Linked DNA regions of Macaca mulatta. The protein of the gene in region 4 interacts with the protein of the main gene of each other region in a biochemical or structural test. Links are inferred from orthologs where the notes say so. Each region holds a gene or a part of one and is shown on either strand. Other genes may lie near its edges.

Region 1 (3,500 bases), on a different chromosome or scaffold from region 4:
GCAGCCACCACCAGAATAATATTCATCATCAAGCACCTGTTGTTTCCTGGGCTTCCCAGCCTCCCAGGCACAATGTGAGCCCCTCACGTGTACGCTATAGTCTAGTCTTCACATTACCCTGGGGTATATATATAGTACTGTCACCAGTTTACAGATGGGGAACCTGAGGCTCAGAGTGAGTAGCTCACCAAGCTGGCAGGTCTTGGAAGATGAAGAGCTGGACCTTGAGCCTGGCAAGGCTGGGATGTGAGGGATGCTCTTTTTTGTTTTTTTTTTTTTTTTTTGAGATGGAGTCTTGCTCTCTCTCCCAAGCTGGAGTGCAATGGCACAATCTCGGCTCACTGCAACCTCTGCCTCCTGGGTTCAAGCGATTCTCCTATCTCAGCCCCGCTGAGTAGCTGGGATTACAGGCACCTGCCACCATGCCCGGCTAATTTTGGTATTTTTAGTAGAGATGAGGTTTCACCACTTTGGGCCAGGCTGGTCTTGAATTCCTGACCTCAGGGTGAGCTGCCCACCTCGGCCTCCCAAGGTGCTGGGTTTACAGGCATGAGCCACCACACCTGGCCGAGAGATGCTCTCTTGGGCTGTACAGCGTACGACCTTCACAAGTGTACATGGGGAACCCATCCTGGCAGGCTCCAGAGCCTAGTTCTGGCTGTCACACAGCCACACTCTGAAGGTCTGTCCCATCTACCTTTCTGCCAAGTGATAGCTGGTCGGGGAGCCCCCGAGGTCTCACATGCCAGCACCACTGACATGCCGTCAATCACCGTGCTGTCCAGGGGGCCTCTGGTGATGTTAGGGGCGATGCCTGCAAACAGAGAATTGGGGCCTTTTAGCCACACCCTGGGATTGGCCCCCCAAGTCAGAGGTCCAGGGGCCTCCAAGCCCACCGAGGGCCAGGCCCTCATCCTCTGCCTCCCATGGTCAGGGGCCTCCACTAGGAAGGATGTGGGCATCTTGATGGGGCCCCAGTGTTGGGAGGAAGCCCAGAGGGGCCATGAGGACTCCCCTATGTCACCTGCCCTGTGGAAGGACCCAGGTGACACCAGTCCCTACCCTGCTTGGATTCTCAGGCCTGCATTTGGGGGAAACTGAAGACCCCAGAAGGCAGTTCACATCCTCCCTGACAAGGTTATTGGGGTTCACAAGCCAAAAGTGAAAGGAAGGCTCTGGCTTCTTAAAAGAAAAACAGCCACAGTCAAGAGGGGGACTTGGCCACTTTCTAAGTGGCCCTGCCCCAGGACCTCCATTTGGCTGTGGCCACTGTTTAGGGTTGGAGCAGCCTCCTGGTTCTGCGCTCCCCTTGCTTCATCCCAGCACTCAAGGAAGGAGCTCGCCAGACACAGGAACAGAGCTAAGTTCACCTGTACTTGGAAGTCAGAAGCAAGACAGCAGCCCCTTGGTAGCCACCTTTGGGGCACACCCAAAAGCTCTCTGCCCCACAGCTGCCCTGTCTGGGGCCTCTGTGGGTCTGGGTGATGAACACTATGGAGCTCAAAGAGACCCCTGAACATCCCCGTGTTTCCTGAGGAGCCCACCAGTACTTTGCACTTACACAGACCTTTGAGCTTACGGGCCACTCACAGTATCATCTGCTTTTTTTTGAGACAGGGTCTCACTCTGTCACACAGGCTGGAGTGCAGTGGTGACATCTTGGCTCACTGCAACCTCTGCCTCCTAGACTTGAGTGGTCCTCCCACTTCAGCATCCCAAGTAGCTGAGAGTACAGGTGTATGCCACCGTGCCTGGCTAATTTTTTGCATTTTTGGTAGACGAGGTTTCGCTGTGTTCCTCAGGCTGGTCTCAAACTCCTGGGCTCAAGTGATCCACCCCGCTTGACCTCCCAAAGTCCTGGGATTACAGGTGTGAGCCACTGCACCCGGCCCACAGTATCACCTTTGACTGCTAAAACAGCTCCGGGAAGTGGCCAGGGCAACTATGACAACCCGACAGAGACTCCAAGGGCAGAAAGGGATTTGCAAGCAGGAGAACTAAGAGAAAAGCACCAGTTTTCTTCTTTGGAAACATGAGCAGGTCCTCTGGAATGGGGTCACTTCAGCTCTGCCTGGGAACCCAGGGGCAGTTGAAATGCCAGAGCTGGTACCCATGGTTGGTTTCATAGCTCCTTTTCTCAAAAAGCCGTGAACCCAACCTGGGCCCCAGGACACTGGAGAGAACTTCTAGGGACTGGAGATTTCCTCCAGGGCTCTGGACTCGGGGCTGCAGAGGCAGCAGGGGTAACTGGCTGTGCCCCAGGCTGCTGGGCAGCAGGCAGCCTTGGGGATCCTCTCTGCATCACGGAGCATGCTGTGCTCAAGAGCCCCCTGAGAAGACCTTGGAGGAAAGCCGTGTACTGGGAAGAGGGGCTCACGGGCAGGACAAGGGAAGGCCCGACTTACTGGTGACAGCCAGGTAGGTGGAAGTTTGCACCTCGCCGGCTGCATTGCGGGCGAAGCACTGGAACATGCCGGTGTCATCGGGCACCAGGCCGCTGATCTGCAGGCCCCCGTCGCTGCGCTGCCGGAAGCGGGCCAGCTTCTCCACCTCCACCACGGCCGCATCTTTGTACCAGGTGATGGAGGGCGGCGGCACACCTGTGGGCAAGACGTGGACCCACTCTCAACCTGCCTCCTGCCTCCTCTCCGCCTAGGAGGGGTGCTTGGGCGGAGGCCAGGCCTGGAAATCTGCGAGGGGGTCCCTGGTGAATCTTGGTGTCTAGAACCTTCTCAGAGGTGCCACTTTGGGTCTAGGGAGAGGAGGAAGATGCTCTTAGAGTGACAATTCTCAAAGTCTTTGGGATAGAGTAAAGATCCTGGGATCAGTTTAGCATGGAAACGCTGGATTGGACAAACTAATTTATTTATTTTATTTTTTATTTCTATCTGTGTAGAGATGGGGTCTTGCTAGGTTGCCTAGGTTGGTCTAGAACTCTTGGTTTCAAGCATTCCTCCCACCTCAGCCTCCCAAAGTGCTGGAATGACAGGTGTGAGCTGCTGCACCTGGCCCAATTTCTTATTTTTTATTGCAATACTTAGCAGACACACGTGTGCTCTGGGAACCTCCAAGTGGGGATACTTTCCCAAACGCATGGCGCCCTGTGTTGAAGAACATGTAGAGGGTCCAGTGTTCCCTGGGGGGCACCTGGAAGCCCCCCATACCGGCTTTGCACATGGAGGTGAAAGGAGGCTCCTCTCCCCACTCTCAGCCTGGCACGTTTTCAGAAGTTTCCCCAGCCAGGCTGGGCGCCGTGGCTCATGCCTGTAATCCCAGCACTTTGGGAGGCTGAGGCGGGTGGATCACCTGAGCTCAGGAGTTCGAGACCAACCTGACCAACATGGTGAAACCCTGTCTCTATTAAAAATACAAAAATTAGCCTGGTGTGCTGGTGCATGCCTGTAATCCCAGCTACTCAGGAGGCTGCCTCCTTGTACCTGGGAGGCAGAGGTTGCAGTGAGCCAAGATCGTGCCACTCCATTCCAGCCTGGGCGACAGAG
Region 2 (3,500 bases), about 95 Mb from region 4:
CCACCATGCTCGGCCCAACCTTACCATCTGGACCTCATTCCCATCCCCCCAAAAAAGCCGAAGCTAATAATGATGTTAGAGCAACTTGCAGTTTACAGGAAATATAAACAATGGAGAAATAATGTAAATGATCCAGAAGGCAGCCGACAGACAAATTCAGAACACGAGCCATTCCACAGAACTCATATTCAACATGTCGGTGGCATAAAAAAGGGAGGTCTCACTGTGGAGGCGACATGGGTGTACACATTTAACAAAATTCATCAAAATGTACCCTTGAAATCTACTGTATGCAAATTTTCCTCCAGTTTGAAAAAAAGAAAAGAGGCTGGGTAAGGTGGCTTACGCCTGTAATCCCAGCACTTTGAGAGGCCAAGGTGGGCAAATCACTTGAGCTCAGGAGTTCAAGACCAGCCTGGGCAACAAAGCAAAACCCCGCCGGGCGCGGTGGCTCAAGCCTGTAATCCCAGCACTTTGGGAGGCCGAGACGGGCGGATCACGAGGTCAGGAGATCAAGACCATCCTGGCTAACACGGTGAAACCCCGTCTCTACTAAAAATACAAAAAATTAGCCGGGCGTGGTGGCGGGCGCCTGTAGTCCCAGCTACTCGGAGGCTGAGGCGGGAGAATGGCGTGAACCCGGGAGGCGGAGCTTGCAGTGAGCCGAGATCGCGCCACTGCACTCCAGCCTGGGAGACACAGCGAGACTCCGTCTCAAAAAAAAAAAAAAAAAAAAGCAAAACCCCATCTCTACAAAAAATACAAAGTTAGCCAGGTGTGGTGGTGCGTGCCTGTGGTCCCCGCTATTTGGGAGGCTGAAGTGGGAGGATCGCTTGAGCCCAAGGAGGTCAAGGCTGCAGTGAACTGTGATTGTGTCACTGCATTCCAGCCTAGGCAACAGAGTAAGACCCTGTCTCAAAAAAAAAGGGGAGAGATTTACCAACTGAATGAAATGTGTGGAACTTACAGGTATTCTAATTTCTTTTTTTTTTTTTTTTTTGAGACGGAGTCTCGCTCTGCCGCCCAGGCTGGAGTGCAGTGGCCGGATCTCAGCTCACTGCAAGCTCCGCCTCCCGGGTTCACGCCATTCTCCTGCCTCAGCCTCCCGAGTAGCTGGGACTACAGGCGCCCGCCACCTCGCCCGGCTAGTTTTTTGTATTTTTTAGTAGAGACGGGGTTTCACCGTGTTAGCCAGGATGGTCTCGATCTCCTGACCTCGTGATCCGCCCGTCTCGGCCTCCCAAAGTGCTGGGATTACAGGCTTGAGCCACCGCACCCGGCCAGGTATTCTAATTTCAATAAACCAGTCAAAAAAGACATTTTTGAAAGGACAATAGGGAGCCAGGCGCGGTGGCTCACACCTGTAATCCCAGCACTTTGGGAGGCCGAGGTGGGCGGACCACCTGAGGTCAGGAGTTTGAGACCAGCCTGGCCAACATGGTGAAACCCCGTTTCTACTAAAAATACAAAAAATTAGCCAGGCATTCTGACAGGCATCTGTAATCCTAACTACTCGGGAGGCTGAGGCAGGAGAGTCACTTGAACCTGGGAGGCAGATATTGCAGTGAACCAAGATCATGCCATTGCATTTCAGCCTGGGTGACAAGAGCGAGACTTCATCTCCAACAATTAAAAACAAAAACAAAAACAAAAAAAAAACAGGACAATAGGGGAAATGTGTCTATGGACTGGGTACTATGTGAAAACAAGTTAATAACCTCATACACCAAGACCTGGACTCAGTCAGGTGGATTCAGAGCCTGCATTCTTTTTTTTTTTTTTTTCCTCGAGAGATCGCTCTATCGCCCAGGCTGGAGTGCAGTGGCGCGATCTTGGCTCACTGCAAGCTCCGCCTCCTGGGTTCACACCATTCTCCTGCCTCAGTCTCCCGAGTAGCTGGGACCACAGGCGCCCGCCACCACGCCCGGCTAATTTTTTGTATTTTTAGTAGAGACGGGGTTTCACCGTGTTAGCCAGGATGGTCTTGATCTCCTGACCTCGTGATCCGCCCGCCTCGGCCTCCCAAAGTGCTGAGATTACAGGCGTGAGCCACCGCGCCTGGCCCAGAGCCTACATTCTTAACCCCCATGTTGTCTGATCAGATGTACCCTAAAACATCACCTCATGCAGAGAGAAAGTAATGCTACTGTTTTGGGCTTTAATCCACTGTAATGAACTTTCCTACCTCACCATCATCTAGTGCTCACCTGCCTTGTGCGGTAATAAAGGCCAAACTCTGCCATTTGGACCTACACCTCTTCTGTAGTTCCCTGCTACGTTTCCAGCAGAATTTCCTCCTGCATCCATTTCCTCTGCCTTAGCAACTGAACCCATAGTCGAATTCACCTCCCTGAAGCCTTGCACCTCCCCCATGGTGACCCTGCTGCTTCCTAACTCAAAACCCACTCCCCACCTAAATTCTTCAGTCTGAAATTCTTCCATTCTTCCCTGGCTATGTAATCTTGAGCAAATGAACTTTCATCTCTGAGCTCTGGTCTTCTTACCTGTGAAGTGGGACCAGTAACAGCATCTATCTCAGAGTGTTGTGAAAACCAATTGAGATAATGTAAGGAAACTTTATCTTATTTATGTATTTATTTATTTATTAGATGGAGTTTCGCTCTATTGCCCAGGCTGGAGTGCGATGGTGTGATCTTGGCTCACTGCAACCTCCACCTCCCAGGTTCAAGTCATTCTCCTGCCTCAGCCTCCCAAGTAGCTGAGATTACAGGCGCCCGCCACCAAACCCGGCTAATTTTTTTGTATTTTAGTAGAGACCGGATTTCACCATGTTGGCCAGGCTGGTGTCAAACTCCTGACCTCAAGTGATCCACCTGCGTTGGCCTCCCAAGGTGCTGGGATTACAGGCATGAGCCACTGCGCCTGGCCTGGAAACTTCATCTTATGCTAAACCTTACCATGGTGACTGGCACACAGTAGATACTGAATAACTTTCCATACCTTCCCTTTCACGATTGACCACATCTCTCCCTCCCTCCTTTACACGCATCCCCCGACCCAGCCTAGTCTTCCCTCAATTTGGCTAGCTGGAGGTTGCCATTCCTGGGCCAGCATGTGGTTCATGTGCTCTGCTGATGGTATGACCCTTGGCATCCCCCTACCGCCTCCCTGAATCCAGACTCACCCCCTGTGAGTGCAGATACTCCACAGTTTTGCCGATGGTGTGCAGGACGAAGCTGGCCTCCCGCTCCGAGAAGAACTTCTGCCGCAGGATCTTGTCCAGCAGCTCGCCACCCCGCATCAGCTCTGTCACCAGGTACACGTGTTTGCCATCATCGTACACCTGCCGAAGACCTCACCATCAGGCTCTTCTCCCCAGTGTCAGGCCTGGGCCCCCTGGTCAGCAGCGCCCCAGAGCAGGGAAGAATGACATGAGCCTTAGGCAGGTATTCTGCTTGCTCTTCAGTGGCCCCGCCTTCCCCAAAAGGAGGATGCTGACACTGGTCCCCTGATAGGCAAGAACGTCCTCAGAAAATGCC
Region 3 (4,197 bases), on a different chromosome or scaffold from region 4:
CAGGCATGAGCTACCACACCCAGCCACACACACACACTTTTTAACTGCTTTGTGTTTTCTGGCCCTTTCGCCTAGAGAATTAGCTATCAAGACCAAGGGGGTTCTCTTGGCTTCGGTCCAGACTTTCCTGAACCCCACACCCTGCACCGGCACACACTGCTGCCCGCCCCCCTGCCCTGGTAAGGCACCACTAGCTATTGTTGCCTGGGAGCCCCTTGACTTTTAAGCAGGATTTGACCCAAGGGTTTGCAGTGCGGGGTGGGTCCAGGGACAGGAGTTGAGGCAGAAAGACAAGGGCAAGGACAGCTGTGGAGTTGGGGAGGTGGGAGAGAGACATCCTTAGGAGGCAAAACTAGCCAGGCTTGGCCTGTTGTGAGTTTGGGAGGCAGAGAGCAGGAGGCATGAACCAAGACGCTGGGTTCCAGGCCAGGGACCGTGACATGGGAGGCCATAGCTGAGGTGGGGCTCTGCAGGAGGCGTAGATTTGGGGAGGGGACAGAGATCTCAGGGAGGCATTGGGCACACTGAACTTGGGGAGTCTGTGGGGTGTCTGTTGATGCTGGGAAGCTCCACCGAGGGCTCAGGACAGGGTAACAGCAAAGGGGGAACAGGACGCCAACCATAGCAGGTGAGTGGAGGCAGGAGCCACGGGTGGAGCCATGGGCAAGGCCAGGCCGCACAGCCTGGGAGGCGCAGGGGCTGGGCAGCTGCCAGTGACCCAAGCCCACACAGAGACCTGCACAGCTGCCCCAGCCCCAAGTTAGGGGGATCTGCGGGCCCGCCTTCTTTTGGCTCAGCCACTCTGGGAGGTAGGCACGCAGGGGCACCGAAGGGGGCAGGCAGCCCTGGCATCCCACAGCCGCCAGGAGGAGAACTTAGGCCTTCCCAAGACCTGGCAAAGAGCGGGCTGGCCCTGGCCCCCGAGCGAAGGAGGCTGCATCTCCCTCACATCTGCGCCTCCCTCAACGCGGGTTAAACTTTGACCAAGGAAATGATTGCTAAACTCGATTCCGTAAGTGTCACCAGTCACACTTTAATTCCAGTCTAGAATTAAAGTCTTCAGTCTCCACATTTCCTACTTTCCAAATTCAGCTTTTCCGGGAGGTCTGGAGCAGCTGCCTCTCTGGGGAGATGCTGGAGGTCTCGGAATCACCTCACGCAGCCTCAGGGTCCGGTTGGAGCCACTCCAAGTGACACCAGCAGGCAGATGACCAGACAGCCTGAGCCCCCAGCCCCGAGTCTGTGAAGCCAGCAGCCACTGACATGCTCCCAGCCGCCGGGCTGGAGAAGCCACTGTGGGCACCACCGTGGAGGAAACAGGCCCGTGGCCCTGGCCCCTTTGCCTTGGGCCAGCCCTTGTGAAGTGGGCCCTCTTCTGGGCCCCTTGAGTAGGTTCCATGGCATTTTCTGAACTCCTGGACCTCGTGGGTGGCCTGGGCAGGTTCCAGGTTCTCCAGACAGTGGCTCTGATGGTCTCCATCATGTGGCTGAGTACCCAGAGCATGCTGGAGAACTTCTCAGCCGCTGTGCCCAGCCACCGCTGCTGGGTACCCCTCCTGGACAACAGCACGGCTCAGGCCGGCGTCCCAGGGGGCCTGACTCCCAAGGCCCTCCTGGCTGTCTCCATCCCACCGGGCCCCAACCAGGGGCCCCACCAATGCCGCCGCTTCCGCCAGCCACAGTGGCAGATCTTGGACCCCAATGCCACGGCCACCAGCTGGAGCGAGGCCGACACAGAGCCGTGTGTGGACGGCTGGGTCTATGACCGCAGCATCTTCACCTCCACCATCGTGGCCAAGGTAGGGCCTCCCCCAGAGCCACTCGAGTCCTGCCACCTTGGAGGTCAGAGTCATGGATCACGGTGGCTCAGACTCAAAGGTCCAGTCCTGGGAGGGACCAACCTCCTCAGGCCCTGCTCACTCTCGAGCCTCTCAGCTCCTCGTCAGCCACACACAGGGGATTGGGCGGCAGGGATCAGTCTACAGATGGAGCCAGCCCAGGCTCTTGGAGGTGCAGGGGGCACCTGGGCGGGCGCCTCTAAATGCTGGCACCTGGACACTCACTGGCCTCACCCAGACTCGGCCCTGCTGACCCATCAGCTGTGACTCCAGGCAACGTAGCCACAGGGGGACTCAGTGACCATTCACTGGATTCCCCAAGACCAAAGCACACAGGGTAAGGGACCACCCCAGGCTGCCTCCCAGATGGGGCGCCAGGCAAGGCCAGGCAAGCAGACAGGGGCGGCTCGTCCCAACAAGCGGGAAGAACCTCTTTACAAAGAACAGGAGGGACGCAGCCTCCGGGAGAGCGGCCAGGGTGTCAGTTTGGGTGGCTGCTTCCAACTGGACAGACAGGAGACGGGGCAGATGTGGCTAGAAACCCATTGGGCAATAGGGAGCCAGGGAGGAGTTTAGGCAAAGGGTGGCAGGATATACTCCTCAGAAGACCAAACTGTGCCTGTGGGTGCCCTCACTGTTCCACAGGGTCTTGCTCTAAAGCCCTAGAGGTCACCAGGCCACCCACCCCACCCAGCTCCCTGGGGGCCCTCCCATACAGTTCCTCTGCCCCTCCGCACGGGCTCTCCCAGCCTCCTGAGCTCATTCTTCTCCTCTCCCCTTAGTGGAACCTGGTGTGTGACTCTCATGCCCTGAAGCCCATGGCCCAGTCCATCTACCTGGCTGGGATTCTGGTGGGAGCTGCTGCGTGCGGCCCTGCCTCAGACAGGTGAGTACCCCCAGTCCAGGAAGGTCCCAGTTCCCCTCACGACCCCGCTCTCCTAGGCCCCTGGCCGACTGGCCCCAAACCAGCCTCAACAAACCAAGTCTAGACGCCCTCCTTGTTGGAGGTGGGTCTCGGACCAGCCACCCTGCAGCTGTGCCATGTAGGGAGGTCTGGAACCTTCTCTGAGCCTCAAGTTCACTGACTTTATTCTGGGGGTTGTAGAGGATTGCTACTCCCCAGCAAACATTCACTGCTAAAACTGGCTTGGCCACACGCCTGCCTTCAGCTGTGACCTGAGTGCTCCTGGTGACCGGAGCCCATTCCCTTTGGCTCCAGCCTCGGGACTCTCTTTGTGCTCCAGAGTCTTCCATGGGTGGAGAATGCAGGTTTCACCCAGGTGCCGCTTCAGTGTCCGCCTCAGCTCAGCGGCCAAGCAGAGGGTGGGCTCTCTGTGGTCCAGATCCCCGTGGCCAGTGCCATGGCCAGTCACAGACCCTGCCTCTTCCTGGTTTGTGCCGCAGGTTCGGGCGCAGGCTGGTGCTAACCTGGAGCTACCTTCAGATGGCTGTAATGGGCACGGCAGCTGCCTTCGCCCCCACCTTCCCCGTGTACTGCCTGTTCCGCTTCCTGTTGGCCTTTGCCGTAGCAGGTGTCATGATGAACACGGGCACTCTCTGTAGGTCTCTGACCTGGTGCCGTGCAGGGGGGCTCCATGCAGGCTCCAGGGCTGAACCACTCGGTCTCCTTGCAGTGATGGAGTGGACGGCGGCGCAGGCCCGACCTTTGGTGATGACCCTGAACTCTCTGGGCTTCAGCTTCGGCCATGGTCTGACGGCCGCAGTGGCCTACGGTGTGCGGGACTGGACACTGCTGCAGCTGGTGGTCTCGGTCCCCTTCTTCCTCTGCTTTTTGTACTCATGGTGGGTGCTGTGCTCCACTTCCCTCCTCAGAGGAGATCCTGCCCACTCTCCACCCGGGGGAATGGGAGACTCTCCTATCCCTGGGGGCTGGGGAGTGCTAGAGGCCAGGGGTGCACGGGCTGGAGGAAAGCCAGGAGCCTGGCAGAGTGGACCACCCACAAGCCCAAGACACCCACTTCAACCAGGGCTTGGGTCCCCAGGGTGCCTCCCCTGCTCCTCCCAAGTGCTCCTTCTCCTACTCATTCTTCTCCTTTCCTCCCTCCTTCTCCTCATCTCTTGGCCTGTTCCCCTCTCCTGTCTCTGCCTGCCTTGGCATCTGTGCTGCCAGGCCCATCTTCTGAGCCCCTCTGTGCCAGGCATGGCAGCACTGAACTAGGCTAGGGTTGCGGGTGGAAAGATACAACACATGCCCGCACATACAGCACACAGCTGCAGTCTGCCTCATGGGTTGACAGAATCAATGCATGTGTCTGTCTGCTAGAGAACAGGGACCAGGACCCACTCATCAGAGGGGACTCCACAGTCCCCAAAGAGAGCCGGCATGTGTAGGAAGTTA
Region 4 (3,500 bases):
AGATAGTATTCCGAAACCTGTATGTTTTTTTTCCTGTGCTTACGTACCTATGATAGTTTAACTTATAAATTAGGCACAATAAGAGATTCGCAATAACTGAGCTAATCTTAGCAACCTCAGCATACAATATTTTTTCTTTCCTTATTAAATCGAGAACTTTTCACTTAATAGAAGAGCACTTTACAGCCTTTTTTTTTTTTTTTTTTTTTTTAAACAGATGGGGTCTCGTTCTGTCACCTAGTCTGGAGTCCAGGGGCACAATCTTGGCTCACTGCAACCTCTGCTTCCCCGGTTAAGCGATTGTCCTGCCTCGGTCTCTCAAGTAGCTGGAACTACAGGTGCCTGCCACTGCACCTGGCTAATTTTTGTATTTTTAGTAGAGATGGGGTTTTGCTATGTTGGCCAGGTTGGTCTCGAACTCCTGACTCCTAACCTCAAGTGATCTGTCCGCCTCAGACTCTCAAAGTGCTAGTATTACAGGCATGAGCCACTACGCCTGGCCACATTACAGCTTCTCTTTGTCATATCTGAACTGCCAGCATCACAACTGTTGCATTTTGGGCTTTTTTTTTTTTTTTTTTTGGAGACAGAGTCACACTTTGTCACCCAGGCTGGAGAGCAGTGGCGCAATCTTGGCTCACTGCAAGCTCCGCCTCCCGGGTTCACGCCATTCTCCTGCCTCAGCCTCCAAGTAACCGGGACTACAGGCGCCCGCCACCGTGCCCAGCTAATTTTTTGTGTTTTTAGTAGAGACAGGGTTTCACCGTGTTAGCCAGGATGGTCTCCATCTCCTGATCTCGTGATCCGCCCACCTCGGCCTCCCAAAGTGCTGGGATTACAGGCGTGAGCCACCGCGCCCGGCCTGGGCTATTGTTTTTTATTGATACATAACATTTGTACATATTTGTAGGGTGTGTGTCATGTTTTGATACCAAGAGCATATAATGAACAAATAATGGTATGATATTTAGGACATCCATCCTTGAACATTTATCATTTCTTTGTGTTGAGAATATTTCCAATCTTCTTACAACTATTTTGAAATGTGCAATACATTGTTGTTAACTATAGTCACCCCACTTTGCTATCAAACGTTAGAACTTATTCTCTCTTTGTGTTTGTACCCATTAACCTAGCTTTCTTCATCCCTGCCCTACCCCACATACACTCTTCCCAGCCTCTGGTATCTCTCATTCTACTCTCTACCTCCGTGAGATTCACCTTTTTTAGCTCCCACTTATGAGAACATGTGATATTTTTCTTTCTGTGCTGGGCCATTATTAAGCAAAATAAGGATTATTTGAACACAGTACTTTAATACCGCAACAGTTGACCTGATAACTGAGTAGTGAGTAGTAAGACTAACAGGCAAGGAAGCACATACCACACGGAGGTGCTAGACAAACAGAGGATTCATCTCCAAGATGGGGCAGGACAGCACAAGATTTCATTACCCTACTCATAATGGTTCACAATGCAACTATTATGTATGGAATTCTCCATTTAATATTTTCAGACCACAGTTGCCTGCAGGTAAGATAACTGAAACTATGGAAAGCAAAACAGGATAAGGGGGAACTCCTGTATTTCAACCTAGGCAAGGGATCGCTTGGTAATGACTACATAAATCACTTGTAAGGAATGACAGTAACTTAAATTCTGCTTCCTTAAACATTCAGCATTTCTCCTGCCACCTTGTTATATATTTGTCATGAAGAAACCATTTTCCTCATAAAGCTAACCTAAACTGTTCACCATGTGCGTTAGCACATGAGCCAGATGAGTAGAATCTGAATTATGATTTTCTCTTTTTTTACCACTTTACTGATAATAGGCTTCGAAGACATGCCAAGCTTCCTTTGACTACCCACACCACTGTGTTTAATAGCTGACCAACCTGAGAAATGCCCCTTATCGCGAGTTTCCATCTCTTGGTACAGGTTAAATAAGCCTTATAAACTATTGTGAATTTACCAACTGGTCTGCTGCTGTACCACTTGCCAAATCATGACCTACCACCAGTGCTTCTCCAGCCCCAGAAAGAATGTGGGCAGAGGCAACGTTCAAGAAGGAACCGGCCAGCTAACACAGCCCCTCTGGTTCCAACCAATACCCCCAGAGCCATGGTCAACTGAACACAGGTTAGTCTGCACCTCTGAAATTCTAGAAACAGAACTTCTAGTGCTTCCTGATGGTCAGGGTTTCTCAAATCACTCTGTACCTCTTAGCCAGAGCTCAAAGATGCACCTCAGAACAGGTGGGGCTGAGCCACAGCTGAGGATACTATCAAAATGTTACAGGAGGGTGGAGATTTTTGCAGTATTCTCAGCAAAGGTAACAGTGCCTGGCACATCAGTAGGTGCTTAAGATTTTGTTGAATAAATGAATGACTATCTGGGCACCCAGATTTAAAAAAGATACCAATCTTACTCAAAAGTAGCTATTATGAAGACTCTCATTTTTCTTGCCTCTTATTCCTCATTCTCCTCTTCATTTTCACCCTAAGAGGGCTAGAAGCATCAATGCTCTGACCCCCTGACCTCAAAGAGTCCTCAAGTGTCAGCCTGACAAACACTCAGGGACAGGAGTGCCCAGTGCCCCCCACCCCCACTGCTGTCCAGTGTCCCTCCCCAATTGCACAACTGTGCAAGGCAAGGGAAAGGGCAGGGAGGGAGGGAGAGAGAGAGGGAGGGAGGAAAGCTGTTGCAAGCTATCTAAAGCAACTGAAAAGTCAAAGAAGAAAAGTCATTAACCAATAGCATCTTTGTTCTGGAAGCCTGTTGTCTGTGCCCTGCCCCTGCCTCCCCCCACTCCCCCCAAAAATTCTCACCTTGGACAGTTTTCAGAGAGAAGCCATAGCTGCCTCCCTGCTTCACGAGGTAGCAGAGCCGGGGCTGGGTCCAAGTTTGCACGCCTCCATTCATCACAGGGGAAAGTGTATTATCACTCAAACCTTGCTCCTTCTGACTTTGACCCAACTCTTTCAAGTCCACCTGTGTTTTCATTGCTTTCTCATAGGAATCCCCATCCAGAACTAGTAAAGTCACTGAATTCCCACTCTTTCTGACCAGATCCACAACCTAGGAGGGAAGAAGAAAAAATAACTTTAATAACCCTCTATCAACTGCCAGAGGGAAATGCTGACCATGTGGCTCCATATCTGGCCCTGGAGATCCTGCTAGTTGACCCCTGACACCCAAGTAGAAGCAGGTAGTTCCTCAGCCACCTCCATCCCTGCCTTCCCGAGATCCAGGTGCAGATTAGGCTGAGCTTCTGGCACTGCTGGAATATAGAGCATGGTCCAACCCCAGCCCAGAGGCTTCTTACAAGGACTGTCCCTTTCTAGAGAGGAGCACTGCCCTGGATTGTAACCGTACCTCCTGAGTGCATGGCGACAGCACAGTGTAAGGAAAAGAGCATGCTTTTGGAGTCAGGCAGAATAGGGTAAGGCCAGACTCTCCCATATATCCTCTGCATGAACATGTTAGCAAGCTAAGTTA
Region 5 (4,261 bases), on a different chromosome or scaffold from region 4:
GTACACAGCAATGAGTAGTACACTGAAAAAATATAGCATCTTTCCTCCAAAACGGAGGCTGCTCATGTGATCCCAGGTGGATGGGAGGCAGAGTGATATAATGAATGAAACCATGTGCTTTTGAGTTAAAAGGGTCCTGGGTTTAAGTTTCAACTCTGCCTTTTAGTCTCTTTTATTACTGCAGCCCTCTGAGCTTCAAACTCTCCTCTGCCAAAGGAGCACTGGAGTGAGTACTGATGAAAAAAAAATGGATGTGAAGTGATTAACTTGGTGCCCAACACACACGAAGAATTCAGTCAGTACTAGCTGACAATCACAATAAAATTTGTGACAATAATGTACAAAACTCAGAGAATTAAATAGCAGCCTTCTTTACGGCCAAGTAAAAGATGGGGCCATTTCATCCGGAGAAGAGCCAACCAGAAAGACATGAACAATTCTATTTACTTTCCTTTATTTTTATTACACAAGTAGTACATGTTCATGGTAAAGAAAAATTACAATGTAATACAAGCTGAAATAAACTTAAATTATGAACTTTACCACCAACCAGACATATCTAAAATTTCACATATATGCTTTTTTTCATCTTTCTTGAAATATATACAAATATTTTTAAACAAAAATAAGCGCATTTATAATACTGTTTTATATCTTGCTTTTTTCTTATTTCCATGCCATGATCACCTTTCTTTGCCAAATAACAACATCAATGTCATCATCTAACTGGCTACAGAATAACCAATTATATAAACATTATGAAATATGTTTAACCAATTTCCCACAATAGCTATTATTTAAGTTGTAAGAATGGACCATGTGCCCTGGGCTAAACCAGATTGGACCAGTTCTGGTTCCACCTGGAAAAGATCCTATGTTCTCTCGGTCTCATCTTTACCATCTTTAAAATAAGAATTACTCCAGTTCTTAAGGCTAGTATGTGGATCAAATGAACTGATGCATGTAAACGTGTTTTGTAAAGTACTATGTGAATGTTTACATTCATTAATGAAGGTACTAAACAGGTGTTCTCCACTGAGTCAAAACAAGAAGAAATTTGATTAACATGCTGTTGGTCTCGTTGGCATGATTCCTGGCCTGCAGCAGGCTAGGAGTGCAACAGCAAATGCTTCAACGTGGTTTAGGGGCTCTGGCTCTGTTTTCAGTCCCCAATGGGAGAAACCAGAACGCAGCCCTGGCATAAACTCTGTCCACTTTCCTCCTGAGGACATGAGGTCCAGAGAAGGTAAGTGCCATGTCTATGGGGCTCCTGAAAGCCAGAGTGAGCCACCTTCTGCCTCCAAATCCAATGCCATCGATCTTCACTGTGCCCACAGTGTGTTAGTGACTGGCCAGCTATTAAATGCCCACCTTGTGTTTAATCTTGAAGATTGCAAAAGAAAGGAAGCCTGGCTGCCTTGGCAGATTCTAGCAGATATGGGCGTGATTCAGGTACATTCAGAACATACGACAGCCTCAACTTCTCTAACTTTTAACCATCGAAGCACTGGAAACAAATCCACCTCTTTAAAACATTAGTAAATCGAAACACAAGTAGATTCTCATCTCAAGAGTTTATGTGGCTGAGGTAGATAGAAATTTCTAGAAGTCTTATGTTTCCCCCCAAATTATTCTATAATTTGCATTATGTATGTAGTGTTGAAAGGGAGATTTGATTGGATTGCCTGAAATTATACCTTCCTTTCTCCTAATACATATTACTCTCAGGTATATGTCAGAGACAGAAAAATATTTTGAATGACGTAGGTCATCTGTTTTTATGCCGACCACCTATTAGAATCACCTGAGAAGTTTCTGGAAAACAAGACAAAATACTGCAGATGACTTGCTGATCTCTAAAAGTTAAGCTTCAATTATTCTAGGGGTAATTTTCTAATCTCCTCAGAGTCAGGTGATTCTGGCTTGATGTGCAGCCAGAGTTGAGAAACACTGGTTAGGGTCCCAGTGGGGTAAGGAACAGATTATATGCTCATGATCTCACATACTCTTTCACTCTCATTGTGCCTCTAAGCAAAACCATTGAAACATATGTGCTCAGATTCAACTTCTTCTACCTCTAAAACAAGACCCTGAATGAAAAAAATATATCTTATATAATAAAAGGACCCAAACTATGAAAAATAGGATAACTGCTATACAGCTAAAAATGGAGGAAGTAAAGTTCCTCAATGCAATATTATGCAGCAGCTTTAATTTATGATTACAAAGAATTCACAGCAACATGGAAAAACCATAGACTGAAATGCAGGAAATGAATATAAACGTGTCCATAGTGCAGGGACGCAACTATGAAAACTAAAGTTATATGTGCATATACACATTCACAAACACGCACACACACACACACATACACACACACACACACGGAAAACCCCCAAAATATCAATAGAGGCTATCTTGGTGGAGAATTTGGCTTCCTTTAACATTTTTGTACTTTCACAGTATTTTTTAAACTACCATGTACATGATAGGAAAATAATATTTATAGTAGAACAAAACAAATTTACTTTTCAAAAATTACTCCTCTATTACGTGATCTTCAAGTCATGATTCTCAACACTGAATTAACAAAACAAAGATTAAAATGCCCACCTGAAGTTCTCTGTCTTTCAGCTGCCCTGGCTTCTGCTGCCTCTATCTCTTCTGCCTTTCTCCTCCAAGTAATTCGGATTGCTCATTTAAAAGAAAAGGGAAACAGCAAATTATATTTATGAACAGTGCCAACCAATAGCAAGAAAGTCAGGAAGTGTAGCAGGTCATCTGTGCTTTTTAGAAGCCAGTATAGATGTCAGTGCAAGATCTCTTCTCAAGAAGGGGGAAGATTTCCAGTTAAGGGCTACATCTAAAAAGAAGAAACCTAAAATTGCCCTGCCCCTCTAATGACTGGTTTTTGTCATTATCTTTCTCAAGAGAACAAGCGGATATAATGGGTTAGAGTCAGGGATTTTAAGTGGCTTTTAGTTCTCCTGAAAGGTTTCTGTTTCCATGGCAACAGAAATAGCAACACTGCCTTACACACACAGCACTTTAGATTTGTTTAAAGCACTTCCCTCACTCACTTATATTTTCAATTCACTTGCACTCCAGCAGAGACCTTATCCACTCTGCTGAAAATGTTCTGTCAGAGGTTACCAATAACCTTGTTGCTCACATAAAAAATCCTTTCTCAGTCCTCACCTTCCTTCCCGTCTTGTTTGCATAGTTGACCACTACCACTTTCCTGAAACTTCTTCCTTGTTTCTCTGACTTTCCTGGTTCTTTTTCTCCCCCTCAGATTGCTCTTCTTTGCCTCTCTTTCTGATGCCTCTTCTTCCATCCCTTTTCTACATGTGAGCTTTCCCCAGAGGTCTGTGTTCTGACTTCTTCCCTCCTTCTCTTGCTCTTATCTATCTGATGCACAATCATGGCCAAATTTAATGTGACCCAGATGGACCTTTTCTCTTCCCCTCTTAGTCCTGCATCCCCCCATCTACCCTGTCTAAACAGTGGCACCACAATAATTTAGTCCATCCATAAACCTAGAAGTCACTTTTAACTTCTCTCTTTCTTCCACCACCCACTTCTGAGCCAACAAGTTCCATTTGTTCTGCCCATAAAATATGTCCCAAATCCAACCATTGCTGACCTCCCCATCACTGTTCAAATCCTCATTTCCTGGATAGAAAGCTGCAGTAACATTAAGCAAGAAAAATACATAAAAGGGATCCAAATTGGAAATAAATAAGTAAAATTATATCTGTCTGCAAATGATAAAATTTTATACGTAGGAAAACCTGAAGATTCCATACACACACACACACACACACACACAAAACCCCAATAGAACTAATAAGCAAATTCAGCAAAGTTGCAGGATAGGAAATCAATACACAAAAATCAGTTGCATTTATATATACTAACAATAAACAACCAAAAATGGAAACTAAGGAAACGATTCCATTTAGAATAGCATCAAAACGAATAAAATACTTTGGATATATACTCAGTAGTAGGGTTACTGAATCTTGTTGAGATCTCTGCACTCTCATGTTTACTGTAGCACTATTCACAATAGCCAAAATATGGATCACCCTAAATGTTCATCAACAGAAAGATGGATGAAAAATGTATATATTCACAATTGAATACTATTTATTGATTTAAAAAGAACAAAATTTTGTCATTTGTGGCAACATGGATGAGCTTGGAAGACATTATGTTAAGTGAAGTAAGCCAGGCATAGTAAGATAAATACTGCATG
Region 6 (3,968 bases), on a different chromosome or scaffold from region 4:
CACAATACAGGCCCCAGAGGGAACCCTTTCCCAACCCCGGCTGACTTGTTGGGGACAGAGCTGGATTTGGGATTAACCCTAAATCCCCTAGATTCATACTCTCATGCTGACAAAACTACCTGAGCGCTCATCTGGCTGAGCTCTACAGTGAAACTTAAGTGGCTTAGAATATTTTCTGGTAATGGCCAGGCACAGTGGCTCATGCCTGTAATCCTAGCACTTTGGGAGGCTGAGGCTGGCTGATCGTTTGAGCCCAGGAGTTCGAGACCAGCCAGGGCAATATGGGGAAACCCCATCTCTACAAAAAATACAAAGATTAGCTGGGTGTGGTGGTGCATGCCTGTGGTCCCAGCTATTCTGGAGGCTGGGGTGGGAGGATCACCAGAGCCTAGGGAAGTTGAGGCTTCAGTGAGCCATGATCACACCATTGCGCTCCAACCTGACCAACAGAGTTCGACCCTGTCTCAAAAAAAAGAAAAAAGAAAAAAAAGGAAAAAAAAAAGGATATTTTCTGGTAAAAGCAAACAAAACAAAGCCTTTTATCAGAGTGTCTGGGTTTGAATTCTGACTACTCACTGGTTGTGTGACCTTGAACCAGTTACTTAGCCTCTCCGTGTCTCACGAATAATTCCTACTTCCTAGGGCTGTTAGGAGGACTAAATGACTTAATATTTGCAAAGCAAATAAGCAACATTAGAATAATGCTCAGGGAATTGTACATGCTACATAAAGAAAAGAAGAAAAGCAACTATTTAATTGTAACCAACATTTGAAACCAGTATTTGCTGGCCATTCACTCACTGCCCCACATTCATCTGGTGTTTATTGAATGCCTACTGAGTTTATTAGGCCAGGCATAAAGGGCAAATACCTACCATCTAGTAGGAGCAACGGAAATAAAAATACTTTTTAAAAAGGAAAACATCATCATTCTAAACAGAGATTTGCACACAATTCTAAGAAAGGCCAGAAAAAGAACATTGATCTATTTCCGTGTAAACCTGGAAAAAAAAAAAAGAAAGAAAGAAAGAAAGAAAACACCCACAGTTCAATCCTTTGAATCCATTTAAAAGACTGACTATTTGGTGTAACTGGTTTGTGCATTTAGACCTGGCTTCGGTACACACGAGACTTTTGGAAAATATTACCATTCAGTGCCATCTATTAGACCTCTCTGGATGTTTTTCTTCTACCTTCCTCACCTGTCTGTCACCTCAAACGCCCAGAAAATAATCTGTGAGTTCATCCCTAGCCCTCAGATACCGGATGAGGGAGGGGATGTGGGTTCAATGAGACCAACCTCGGTCATTTTAAGAATCAATTTATAAATATTTGGGGAGGGGCAGGATTAGAGAAAAGTAACTTGTAACGTCTCAACTAAGGAAGCAGCAGCTGCTGCATTTAAAAATCTTGGTGGCTTAACTCAAACCAGTTGGTTTAATAACTGATGGAAAAATGAAATTCCGCCAATCCGCACCCCTCCCCCAAATCCACCGAAGTCTCTCGAATGTAATCGCTCTGAATGCCCTGAGCCGGGTCAAGCTGGTGTCTATGTTTGGCTGGAGCGGACCCTGCGGAGTCCCGAGCCCCGGGTGAGGCGATGCCCAGACTGGCGCGGCGCGGGGTTTCCCGGCAGCCGCGCAGAGGCCCACCCGCCTCTCCGGCCGACTGCAGCGGGCGCGCCTGTACTCTACAAGACCAAAACGCTTTGGAAAGCGCTCGGGGCTGCAAGTGACGCCTGGCACGGGCGGCGGGCCGGACTGCCGGCCTCACAGCCCTTCCCGGGCTCACACAACCCGCGGGCCGCCCCCGCCGCCCACGAACTTCAGCGGGCAGACGCTGGACGTGCGGTCTGGCGACTTTCCTAAACTCCAGCGCCCGATCCGCGTCGCAGGGTCGGCCGCGCAGCGCGGAGATCGCGGGTGCCCAGGCTTGCAGAGCGAGCGTCGCGCTCCCGGCCGCGGTGGGGGAACAGGAACCGCCGCCGGAGGCACCGTCTCCTCCCCTGAGACTGCGATATTGATCAAGGGCTCGCAGGCGCGGGCGGCATTCATCTCCCCGGGCTCGCAGCTTGCCGCGGAGGGGAAAGGGCAGGACGCGCTCCCAGGACTAGGGCGGGGGCGTGCGGAGTCGGGGAGCTGTGCGGGGGCTCTGGGGTGAGGCGGGGAGCCCCGCTTCAGAGTCTCCCGTCCCAGGGCCGGGGTCTGCAGGGGGGTGTGGGAGGTGGAACCTCCCCTCCCCTAGGCGTCTGCCCCAAAGCCTGGAGCGATTCTTGGCGCGGAGCCGGCTACCCGGGTGGGCGGACCCCCTCCTCCGCCAACATTCCGGCGGCTTCGCCACGATTTCTTGTCTCACCTGAGTCTCCCCCTGCCTACCCAACCCTGGCTCCAAAGGTCCCGAGAGTTAGGCTGCCCCGGAGCCCAGCCTTCCGGGACCTGAGCACGGCTCTCCCAGCGCCCCCGCCCCCATCGCACTCACAGCCCAGCCCCGTCCCGCGTCCGCCAGGGGCCCGGGACGCCAGCGCTCGAGGACTGGCCGGCGGGCTCTTACCTTAACGAGCCGGAGCTGTGGATGCCGTGCCATCCTCGGGCTCGCTTGGCTACCGTCCTGAATGCCCGGGTCCCGCGGACATCCCAGAGGGGCCGGCGGGCGGCTGTGGGCTCGGGCGGCACGGGGTGGGCGGCCGGGCTCCTCGGTCGGTGCCTGGTGCGGAGGTGCCCGGCTCGGCGCTCCCCGGCCCCGCGGCCCGGCCTGGCCCGGCTCTCGCTCGCCCCTTCCCGGGGAAGTCTGGCCGCCGTTTCCCGACTCAGCCTGGCCCGCGGCCGCCTCTTGCCGGCCTCGCCCCCGCCGCCTCCCCCACGGTCCGCGCCGCTCCTTGCCTCGGCTCCCCGCCCCCTCGCCCAGCTCGTCCCCTCCCCTTCCTCCCCCTCCCTCTCCCCTCCGCTCCCCTTCGGTCCCTCCTCCGCGCCTCGCCCCTCGGCTCCCTCCCCGCTCCTCGCCTCCTCGGTTCCCTCCCCTTCCCCCGGCCAGCTCCCTGCGCCCCGCCGCCAGGATCCCCTTTCCTTGCGCCCGCGTTTGCGGCAGTCCTCGGGGCGCGCTGGCAGCGGTGGCGGCCGCCGCAGCCCGGGGAGAAGCCGGGGATGGGGGAAGGGGGCCGCGGTAGAGGGTCAGCCTTCCGCCCGGCCGAGGTCGGGGCCTGGGAAGTCCAAGGATTCTAGGGGGACTTGGGCAGGGGTGCTCAGGTGAATTTATGAGGGCGAGGCTACTGGGGGCTAGAGAACAGGGCGGTCCCTACTGAGCGGAGCCGCCGCGGAACCGGGTGAAGCTGCGACCTGCGTTTGGGCAGTTCCCGCCCTGCGGCTGGCTAGGAGGAGCTCCTCGCCGCCCCCATTCCAGCCGCGCCGGGAGCTGGGCCCGACCCCCAGCACCTTTGGCACTGATGTGCCTGGTGCGCGCTGAGACGCGAACGCTCTGCAGGATGAGCCCTTATTCATTCCTTGGTTTCTTCCTTCATTCGTTCATCTTACAAACTGAGTGCCTGGCCACTTTGGTTCAGGCAAGAGGCTGGATCTGGGAACCCTTTGGACCTGGGAGCCCCAAGATGAAAGGGAGACGGCGGTGCCCTGCAGGACAAGCGGGCACTGAACGCTGCCCAGGGGAAAGCCGGGCGCGCATTGCGCTGCAGCACGGCGAACGCCGCTAGGAGCCCGCGGGCAGGGCGTGGGGAGGACACAGCGCCCCCTCCCGGCCGAGCCCTCAGGGCAGCGGTGGGCCTCCCCGCCAGACCCCGGGGCCGTCTTTTGGATTGGCTCCGGAGCTCCCCATCCCAGGAAGGAACTCCCAGCCCTTCCTGATGAACAGAACTTTTGACTTCCTCTTCGCTCTTCCTCTCTCCTACCAGAGCTGAAAAGGGAGAATAGGAGAAGAGGAGTCACTGGGAGGTAGAGAAAAATTCACTCCGCCAGCAA

The links.
Region 1: the proteins of PDZK1 (region 4) and SDK2 interact in a test that uses a peptide from one of them, tested with the Homo sapiens proteins (2 studies listed by IntAct, with this or other methods). The link is inferred for Macaca mulatta from reciprocal best matches to the Homo sapiens genes PDZK1 and SDK2.
Region 2: the proteins of PDZK1 (region 4) and RPS6KA1 interact in a test that uses a peptide from one of them, tested with the Homo sapiens proteins (2 studies listed by BioGRID and IntAct). The link is inferred for Macaca mulatta from reciprocal best matches to the Homo sapiens genes PDZK1 and RPS6KA1.
Region 3: the proteins of PDZK1 (region 4) and SLC22A12 form a complex in vitro, tested with the Homo sapiens proteins (2 studies listed by BioGRID and IntAct, with this or other methods). The link is inferred for Macaca mulatta from reciprocal best matches to the Homo sapiens genes PDZK1 and SLC22A12.
Region 5: the proteins of PDZK1 (region 4) and CYSLTR2 interact in a test that uses a peptide from one of them, tested with the Homo sapiens proteins (2 studies listed by IntAct, with this or other methods). The link is inferred for Macaca mulatta from reciprocal best matches to the Homo sapiens genes PDZK1 and CYSLTR2.
Region 6: the proteins of PDZK1 (region 4) and CRHR1 form a complex in vitro, tested with the Homo sapiens proteins (2 studies listed by BioGRID and IntAct, with this or other methods). The link is inferred for Macaca mulatta from reciprocal best matches to the Homo sapiens genes PDZK1 and CRHR1.

What each region holds. Positions count from the first base shown.
Region 1 is NC_133421.1:83,093,308-83,096,807, forward strand, and holds part of SDK2 (protein sidekick-2), read right to left. Parts: intron 2,601-3,500; coding exon 2,406-2,600; intron 815-2,405; coding exon 698-814; intron 1-697.
Region 2 is NC_133406.1:214,424,455-214,427,954, forward strand, and holds part of RPS6KA1 (ribosomal protein S6 kinase alpha-1), read right to left. Parts: intron 3,305-3,500; coding exon 3,146-3,304; intron 1-3,145. UniProt on the Homo sapiens protein: Serine/threonine-protein kinase that acts downstream of ERK (MAPK1/ERK2 and MAPK3/ERK1) signaling and mediates mitogenic and stress-induced activation of the transcription factors CREB1, ETV1/ER81 and NR4A1/NUR77, regulates translation through RPS6 and EIF4B phosphorylation, and mediates cellular proliferation, survival, and differentiation by modulating mTOR signaling and repressing pro-apoptotic function of BAD and DAPK1.
Region 3 is NC_133419.1:9,804,191-9,808,387, reverse strand, and holds the start of SLC22A12 (solute carrier family 22 member 12), read left to right. Parts: upstream 1-1,397; coding exon 1,398-1,799; intron 1,800-1,874; exon of another isoform or gene 1,875-2,175; intron 2,176-2,620; coding exon 2,621-2,724; exon of another isoform or gene 2,725-2,838; intron 2,839-3,207; exon of another isoform or gene 3,208-3,242; coding exon 3,243-3,397; intron 3,398-3,472; coding exon 3,473-3,641; intron 3,642-4,197. UniProt on the Homo sapiens protein: Electroneutral antiporter that translocates urate across the apical membrane of proximal tubular cells in exchange for monovalent organic or inorganic anions. Involved in renal reabsorption of urate and helps maintaining blood levels of uric acid.
Region 4 is NC_133406.1:119,618,036-119,621,535, reverse strand, and holds part of PDZK1 (Na(+)/H(+) exchange regulatory cofactor NHE-RF3), read right to left. Parts: intron 3,081-3,500; coding exon 2,831-3,080; intron 1-2,830. UniProt on the Homo sapiens protein: A scaffold protein that connects plasma membrane proteins and regulatory components, regulating their surface expression in epithelial cells apical domains.
Region 5 is NC_133422.1:27,853,390-27,857,650, reverse strand, and holds the start of CYSLTR2 (cysteinyl leukotriene receptor 2), read right to left. Parts: upstream 2,801-4,261; 5' UTR 2,614-2,800; intron 1-2,613. UniProt on the Homo sapiens protein: Receptor for cysteinyl leukotrienes. The response is mediated via a G-protein that activates a phosphatidylinositol-calcium second messenger system.
Region 6 is NC_133421.1:70,692,705-70,696,672, reverse strand, and holds the start of CRHR1 (corticotropin-releasing factor receptor 1), read right to left. Parts: upstream 2,801-3,968; 5' UTR 2,584-2,800; coding exon 2,551-2,583; intron 1-2,550.